2 linked regions of the Cricetulus griseus genome follow. The protein of the gene in region 2 binds, or shares a complex with, the protein of the main gene of each other region. Links are inferred from orthologs where the notes say so. Each region holds a gene or a part of one and is shown on either strand. Other genes may lie near its edges.

What was found.
Region 1: the proteins of Aplnr (region 2) and Apln are in contact, whole or in part, in a cryo-EM structure (PDB 8XZG), measured with the Homo sapiens proteins. The link is inferred for Cricetulus griseus from reciprocal best matches to the Homo sapiens genes APLNR and APLN. Residues at the interface, in NP_005152.1 of Homo sapiens: Tyr35, Phe78, Trp85, Tyr88, Thr89, Tyr93, Ser106, Ile109, Phe110, Met113, Pro163, Val164, Arg168, Gln180, Cys181, Tyr182, Met183, Tyr185, Glu194, Glu198, Leu201, Gly202, Ser205, Tyr264, Lys268, Tyr271, Ser275, Cys281, Asp284, Leu285; in NP_059109.3 of Homo sapiens: Arg66, Pro67, Arg68, Leu69, Ser70, His71, Lys72, Gly73, Pro74, Met75, Pro76, Phe77.

What each region holds. Positions count from the first base shown.
Region 1 is NC_048604.1:21,410,428-21,414,732, reverse strand, and holds the start of Apln (apelin), read right to left. Parts: upstream 2,994-4,305; 5' UTR 2,603-2,993; coding exon 2,536-2,602; intron 1-2,535. UniProt on the Homo sapiens protein: Peptide hormone that functions as endogenous ligand for the G-protein-coupled apelin receptor (APLNR/APJ), that plays a role in cadiovascular homeostasis. Functions as a balanced agonist activating both G(i) protein pathway and beta-arrestin pathway of APLNR.
Region 2 is NC_048599.1:90,406,399-90,410,004, forward strand, and holds Aplnr (apelin receptor), read right to left. Parts: upstream 2,055-3,606; coding exon 921-2,054; 3' UTR 566-920; downstream 1-565. UniProt on the Homo sapiens protein: G protein-coupled receptor for peptide hormones apelin (APLN) and apelin receptor early endogenous ligand (APELA/ELA), that plays a role in the regulation of normal cardiovascular function and fluid homeostasis.

The sequences.
Region 1 (4,305 bases), on a different chromosome or scaffold from region 2:
GGAGTTTAGAACTGAGGATGGAGTGGAGATGTCCTCCACAGTGGGAGGGGGACAGTAAGCTGTCCTTACGCTGCACACTGGAGTATAAGCTGCCAAGGGGGGGAGGAGACCGAGAGAAAATGGTGCTCGGAGAACAAGGGACATTTGGCCAGGACTCAGAAACTCCTGGACTCAGAAGAGCAAAGTGTATCCCAGGTCAGGAGGCAGTGGAGAGTCTGTGGAGTTGGAGGAGGGGCAAAGAGGGAAGGTGAACATTCCAAGTCAGAACAGAGAGTGGAAGAGAAGAGGACACACAGTTTCTGAACTTCGGGGACTGTCTCTGGATACCTCATGCAAGTCTGTGCTAAGGACGAGACTATTCTAGGGCTCTGCTTTCTAGACCAGGACACAGGAGGAGTGTGCATACCTGAACCTCTGGCTGCTGGCTACCTCCAAGAAGGTGCCCTCCTTGGCTCCGGGAGTGGTCAAGAGGTAGGAAAATAGTGAGACCTTTAGAGGTAGCCAATGCTTATCTTAAATAAAATGTAAGGGTGATGCTTATACTCACATTAGGGTGTGCCAAAGAGTTAATGTAAAATGAGAAGACAGAACAAGAAGTTTCAAGGTCTAGACCAGAAACCCAAAGTGTTCTGGAAGCCTGCTTTGCTTCCTTGAAATCAGCTCACCCCTTTACTAGTAATATCCCAACAGCTGGACCCTGAAGGGTTCACTGAGTATCTACTAGCCAAAGTCTCCCTTATACCTTCCCCTCACCCTCTGGGGAAGTATGCAGCTCCTCTGGGGTACCCTTTCTGTACCCAATCATGTTCTCTAAAGGCACTCCTCTAACTATTTGCCTGAAGTCAAACTATGAAGATGTGTCTTGCCAACCATATTGGCTGTGTAAGTTCCAGGACAGAGGAGCAGGCTGCTGTGGTGTCTTGATTCATAGCTTTTGCTCCCTTCCTGCCACTGCCTGGCTGGCAGGAGTTTCTGGGGAAAAGTCTGCACCCTTCATCCCAAGGAGGTGGCTGTCTCGGTGCTAGGGTCTTGCAGGAGACCACTGGACAGCTACCTGGAGGCAAGAGGCACAAACCAGACCAATGTACTTTCCAGAGAAGCCTGGCAGTGTACCGAGTGCAGGGCAATGACAAAGAACAAGAGCATAGAAAGGAGGTAGCTACAAAGAGAGGCAAGCGGAATTGGCCAGAACCCCAGAGGCTCCCGGGCAGCACGCCATCCTCCTGTTCTGGGGGGGGGGAGGTCAAACTAAGTAAGTTCCTGGGCTCTTCCTCTAGGAAACCCACTGTCCTGCTCGTTCTCTCTGTCTGTCTGTCTGTCTGTCTCTCTCTCTCTCTCTCTCTCTCTCTCTCTCTCTCTCTCTCTCTCTCTCTCTCTCTCTCTCTCTCTCTCCACTCTCACTTCCCTGTGACTCTGTGACTCCAGCCCTGGCACTGGCAATTGTTCACCTGGTCTTGACCTTCCCTTTCTGCTGTGCCAGGCAGGCTGCAGTGACAGCCAGATCACAGGACTGGGGCAGCTGAAGGTGCGAGCTGGCAGCTCCAGGAGGCTCTGCCGCACAGAGGATGGGCAGCCTGGGCAGGGGCTCCTGGGACACTGAAGACCTGGACTGAAGTAGGCAAAGGAGTTCCAGTGCCAAGAATTTCCAGGTGGGAGATCGGTACAGGTGGAAGGGAAGGGACCCCCCTTCCCTGAATTGCACGAAGGGCCTGTTTGCTGGTTTGGTACCTGAAGACAGGGGGACCAAAGTTATACTGGTGCAAGAGTGGAGGATAAAGCCAGAATACAGAAGAAGCAAGTCTGTGGGCCAGGTGTCCCACAACCTTGTAGGGAACGAGATCATCCAGGACCTTGGAGTACAGGAGGAGAGCAGCCTGACTCTGTCCGGTCCAGATCTGCCTAAGCAGGCTTCCTCTGCTTACACTCAGGCAACAGCTGGGATCCACTAGCCACTGCGGTCGCCCCCGCCCCCGCAGCGTGCTCCAGACTATGCAACAAGTGTCACGTCTACATGTTGGCACATCATCCCCAGCGGCTTGAGCCCCTGAACTTGCCAGCGGCCCCTAAACTCCAAGACCTAGAGACCTTCAACACTGAGCCCTGATCACTCAGCTCAGGTCAGTCGCCTGATCCACTCACCGGTCCACGAAGTGAGCTGACATGCCCCCATCCTCTTCCCGGCCACCACGTGGGGTGCAGGGTGCAGGGTGCAGGACATAGGGTGCAAGTCTGTGGCCCTGAGCGCCTTAAACTGCGAGGGGCATTCAAGAAGGGCCAAGTGGTGATGTACGTGATAATACCAAACCCCGAACTGTTCCGGGAAGCAGTAGCTACAAAGCACGTCTCCCCCGGCCCCAGATGCCCTGTCAATCGGCCTCCCTGTGTGGCTGGCGCGTGGCTGCTCCTGCAAGGCTCGCGCCGGGTTTCCTGGGAGGCAGGAAGAGCGTGCATGGGGTGGAAAGAGAGGATCCCGCAGGCTGTAGTTCGGGAGAGCCCCGGAGGAAGCCCGGGCGAGCAGGGAGGACAGGCACTCACCTCCACACACCGCAGTCAAGGAGAGCCAGAGCAGGAGCAGCGCCTGCACCCAGAGTCGTAGATTCATGTTGCAACTGGGTCCTCAATCTCCCTGAAGAGCCGGAGCGTGGGCAGAGAGGCCGGGCACCCCGGACGCCGAGAAAGGCGCGAGACGGGGCTGGCGCGTGCGGGCACGGAGTTCGCGTGGCTCCCGGACCACGGGAGGGTGCGTGCCCCAGCAACGCTGCTGGCTGCTGGCCCCACGCCTGCTCGCCGCCCCTGCTCTGCAGCAGCCTCCTTTCCTGCCGCGGGGTAGCGCGGCGAAGCTGGCCTAGGTGGCTCCGGGATAGCAGCAGAAACTCTCCAAGTGGCCGGCGGTGCTTAGTCCGCGACTCGCAACTATCCGTTGGTCCAGGCTGCTAGAGAGAATGCTTCCCCGCTCACTTCGGGGGCTGCATTTTGTAGCTTGTGGTTTGGCAGCGAGCCCACTTGGTCATGTGGTCATCGGGAGGGCTGGGGGGGGGGGAGAGCAGGAAGAGGGAGGGGGAGAGAGCCTCCCGCACCAACCCCCTTCAGGCAAGCACGCTGCAGCCCTATCCAGGACGCGAGAGGGAACCCCGAGGTGGCCCCACAACAAAGGCTGAGCGGCCGCTCGGACAACCCACAGCGGCTCCCCGGACAATGCCTGCCTGGCCGGGGTGCAGAGGGTTTGTAGAGACCTGAAGGATTTCAAACACAGGAAGCATTTGGATCAGTGGAGGGGCACACTTAACCCTTTCTTACCTGATTTCCTCAATAGCTGTCAGGATACCAGGGCATTTGGGGAAGGACCCATTCCGGATCCCCACAACACCCCAATCCATTTCTGACCCTGACCATGTTCTTTCTCCCCTTGTCACTCTGTATTCCCAAGTAGGGGTTTACTCAAGGAGTTCACCTTCTTTCTCCTCTGCATCTTCAACTGATTCAGAATTGGGGTGGTTGCCTAGGTTGCACATAAGACTGGGGTAAACTAGCCGGGCGGTGGTGGTAGTGGACGCCTTTAATCACAGCACTCAGGAGGCAGAGACAGACAGATCTCTGTGAGTTTGTGGCCAGCCTGGTCTACAGAGCGAGTGCCAGGACAACCAGGGCTATTACACAGAGAAACCCTGTCTCAACCCTCTGCTCCAAAAAGAGACTTGGGTAACTGCCTACCACCTTATTTCTCCAGTTGTCTCCCAGCGAGTACCCTCTTCCGAGACTGGCCCCGTGAGTGCAGCAAAACCTCAAATTCCCACCCAATCTAAAAAAGGCATCCTCCTGTCCCTGTGTCCCAACCTGCCCCCCCTGGAATTGCTGCCTCTTGGATACTCTTCACTTTCGGGAGACATTCTGCAGCTTCGGCCATGTTCCCTTTCTTGTTGCTTGGAGCTGTCCCCTACCTCGTTTTGTCTCCTTATGGGGAGAGGCCTCCTGGATCCTTCCAAACTGAGCTGGATTTCTTTTACAGTCAGCTGGGATTCTCCATTATAAGAGGGCCCTGGGGTCGTTTGTCTGTCTACTAGGGACTCTTAGCTCCTTCTCCAGCCTGGGGGTTCCCAAAGAAATGCACTGCTTCTTTCCTCAGGCTGGGAATCCCCTAAGACAGGACCCTACAGTCTCAATCTTCTGCATCTCTCCAAACTCCCCAATATCATTCTCTGCACATAGGTGGCACTCAACACATGTCGAAAGGCTGAGTCAAAAGGTGTTTCCACCTTGCAGCGAGCCAGGCTGTTTGTTCCAAGTCTACATCCAAATGTACATGAA
Region 2 (3,606 bases):
GTAGGAGGGAGACAATGAGGATTGGGGGAGGGGAGCCAAGCAGCATACAGACTAAATACAGATTCCCCTCTAACCCCTCTTTCTCTGGTTTCCTTTCCCAACTGCACCTTCATAGGAACGGGATGGTCCACAGCTTCCTCAGCCCTGTTACCTTGTAATTCTCACAATTATAAACAAGCAGAAGAGGGCAATGGGTTATTGGTAGGATACATTATCTACTAAGCAACACGGAGATTCTGCCAAAGAGAAATCTCTATTCAAAACTCAGTCTAGCCCTGGTGTCTGGACCAACAGTGAACTAATCCAACTTTTGGAAAGACCCAGAGCTCCTGGCTCTGGGGACTGAAGCACTAATTCTTTGCCTACACACACAGCCCACCCTGCCCTGCTGGCTCTCGGAAAACAGGAGAAGAACTCAGGGTTATCCTTCAAGCTTCAGCATTCTTAACCCTTAGAAGCCCAGCCTTAGGAATCCACTAGAAGACAACGAGATCTAGAATGAGAGTAATTGACAGTAAAAATTTCTGCAGCAGAGAAAACAAAAAAGGAAAAGAGGGGAGGGGGTAGAAAGAGTAGAAGGAAGCAAATTAAGTCAGGAATCATCTTCAACATTTTAGGGTCCATAAAACATTCTCCCATTTAATGCAGAGAAACTGAGGCTTGGAGAGGATAGGAGACTTGTGCGAGGTCAGCCTCGAGGATATTGAATAGCTGAGCACAGGTCTGTTTGCAAGGCTCCATCTCTTCCCACTGAACCACAAACCTCTGGGAAGTGGAGGGCAAGTCAGAGCTTGGAGGCAGGGAACAGCTAAAGGAGCCAGGGGTCAGGGAGAAAATGCAGCCATGCTATCTGGTTCTCAGAGCGCAAGGGTAAAGTTTGGGTCAGACCCAAAGCACCAGGCTTCTCTTTGGTCCAAGCCCTAGTCCACAAGAGTCTCTTGACTATAGGGAATGGATTTCTCATGCATCTGCTCTCCTCCCTTTCCCATGTTGGGGCCAGGGCCCTGGCTGTGCCCAGAAGAATAGCTGGCTGACTTCTCCCCGCTGCTGCTGTGAGGGGTGCCTTTGCACCTGCTCTGATCACAGCACAGCATGGAGGTGCAGGCTTGTCGAAATCGGGGGTCGAAAAAGGCGTAGAGGAAGGGGTTGAGGCAGCTGTTGACGTAGCTGATGCAGGTGCAATAGGGAAAGACATTCATGAGGAAGCTGTCAAAGTCACAGGGCCAGTGCAGCAAATTCCCCAGCATGTAGAGCGTCTTCACCAGGTGGTAAGGCATCCAGCACAGGGCGAAAGTCACCACCAATACCACGATGATGCTGAGCAGCCGGCGCCGCTTCCGCAGGCCCTCAATGCGCTCCTTACGGAAATGGCCAGCGATGGTTTGGGCAATGAAGAAGTAACATGTCAGCATGATGGTGAAGGGCACCACAAAGCCTACAGCAGTGGATGACACCCCAAGGCCCACCTCCCAGGCCCACTCTGAGTTTGAGGTAGCCACCATGGAGTAGTCCATGTAGCACTGGACCTTGGTGCTGTTTTCTGTGTTAGCAGTGGAACGGAACACCATTACAGGCACAGCCAGAAGGGCAGCCAGCACCCACAGGACCGCTGTGGCCACAACCCCGTTGACCCTCAGCCTAAGTCGAGCATTGGCCACTGGCCTGACAATAGCCAGGTATCGGTCGAAGCTGAGGCCGGTGAGGCAAAAGACACTGGCATACATGTTGACAAAGATGAGGTAGCTGCTGAGCTTGCAAGAGAAGGTTCCAAAGGGCCAGTCAAACTCCCGGTAGGTATAGGTGGCCCACAGTGGCAAAGTCACCACAAAGGTCAGGTCAGCCACTGCCAGGCTGGCAATGAAGATGTCAGCGGAGCGTCTCTTTTCCCGGCTGCTCCGAAACACGGTCCAGAGCACCAGGCCATTGCCGGTGGTGCCTAGAAGGAAGACTAGAATGTAGATGGCAGGGATGAGAGCTCCAGAAGACTTCCAGTCTTCGTACTCACATTCAGACTGGTTGTCGGCCCCATAGTAGTTGTAACTATCATCTTCCATACTGGTGAATGGAGTGAAGGTAGGCGGTGAGTCCCAGGGACACCAGCTCCAGAGCTATATCACCAACTCAGCTAGCGCCCTGAGTAAGAGAAGGTCTGAGGGCGCCCTTCCCGGCATGCAGAAGAAGCCCCTCTGGAAGCTCAGACCCAGCAGGATGTGCTGCTCCGGCAGCTTCTTTCTACCTTCCCCTTCCCACCCCAGCTCAGCTAAGACACTTCCTTGCACCCTCCTGAGTCTCTGTCTCCTCCTAAACTCCACACTCCCTCCTCCCACCCTGAGGCCAACTCCTCCCTCTCTAGTGAGTCTTAAGATCTTTAAGTTACAGCCCACTTTTTTTTTTTTCTCCTTCTTCTTGCCACTGGGTAAGTAGACTAAATTGACCCCTACTGTGCTGGGCTGACAATTATCTGTGTTTTGCAAGCCTGCTGCTCCTCCTGGCCCCACCTCCTCTCTCTAGCTTCCACCAGCCTTCACCCCAGACTCTTACTCTGCCCCACCACCACCACCTCATGCCTGACTTTCAGGGTATCTATTCCCTCCTCAGTCTTCACCCTCCTGTTCTCACCCTCTCCCAACCCTTCTAACTGGTACAAATTATGCAGACTGAAATCCAGTTTGACCGGGACAAGCATGGGGCAGAGAGGGTGTGATATTTCACAGGGGGGTCCCAGCATCTGGATGGCCCCTGCTGACCCTGCACTCCCACCCCACCCCCACCCAGATGAGACACTGGAACTCGGCACTTCCTTCATTCCTCTCTATGCCTTGGCTCCAACCCTCTTTCTGAGAACTTTGGTATTTTGCAGACAAAAGCACAATGAAATTTCTCTACAGTTCCTAAACTGCTGGCAGACCACAGTTTGTAATTTGCAGATGAAGGTAATAGAAAGTTGGTGACAATATGACTGCTAACCAAGTCATTAAACCTATGGGGAAACTGATGCTTAAGGTAAGTGTCTTTCCAAAGGTCACATTTTGTTGTGATTAGTTGTCTTCTTCTTCTTCTTCTTCTTCTTCTTCTTCTTCTTCTTCTTCTTCTTCTTCTTCTTCTCCTCCTCCTCCTCCTCCTCCTCCTCCTCCTCCTCCTCCCTCCTCCTCCTCCTCCTCCTCCTCCTCCTCTTCTTCTTCTCTAAGCTCATAAGGAACATAGATCTGGTATGTCATCAGAGATCTTTGATGCTTGGCTGAGTAAGTAAGTGGACTAATCAGGAAAAGAGTGAGAAAGGAGAAGAATAAGTGTATGGGTTACTGTGTGTTAAGATTACGAACTCAGCTCAGTCCTCGGGCTCTTACCAGTCAATATCCATGAGCCAAAGGTTTCATAAGACCACATAGGGTCAGGAAGTTGAGTTCAAGGAGGATGAAGAAAAAGGAACCACCCCTGAGCAGATGTTGTAATAGTCACCCTCCCATCTGGCTTCTTCACCAGGACCTCTTCAGGAAGAGGAAGGATGCACAAGATAAGATTTTTTTAAAGCATCCTTTCTACCTCAACCCCCAAGAGTGAGGAAAGCTACCTGAATTTGGCCAGGAAGATTACAAGCTTAACTTA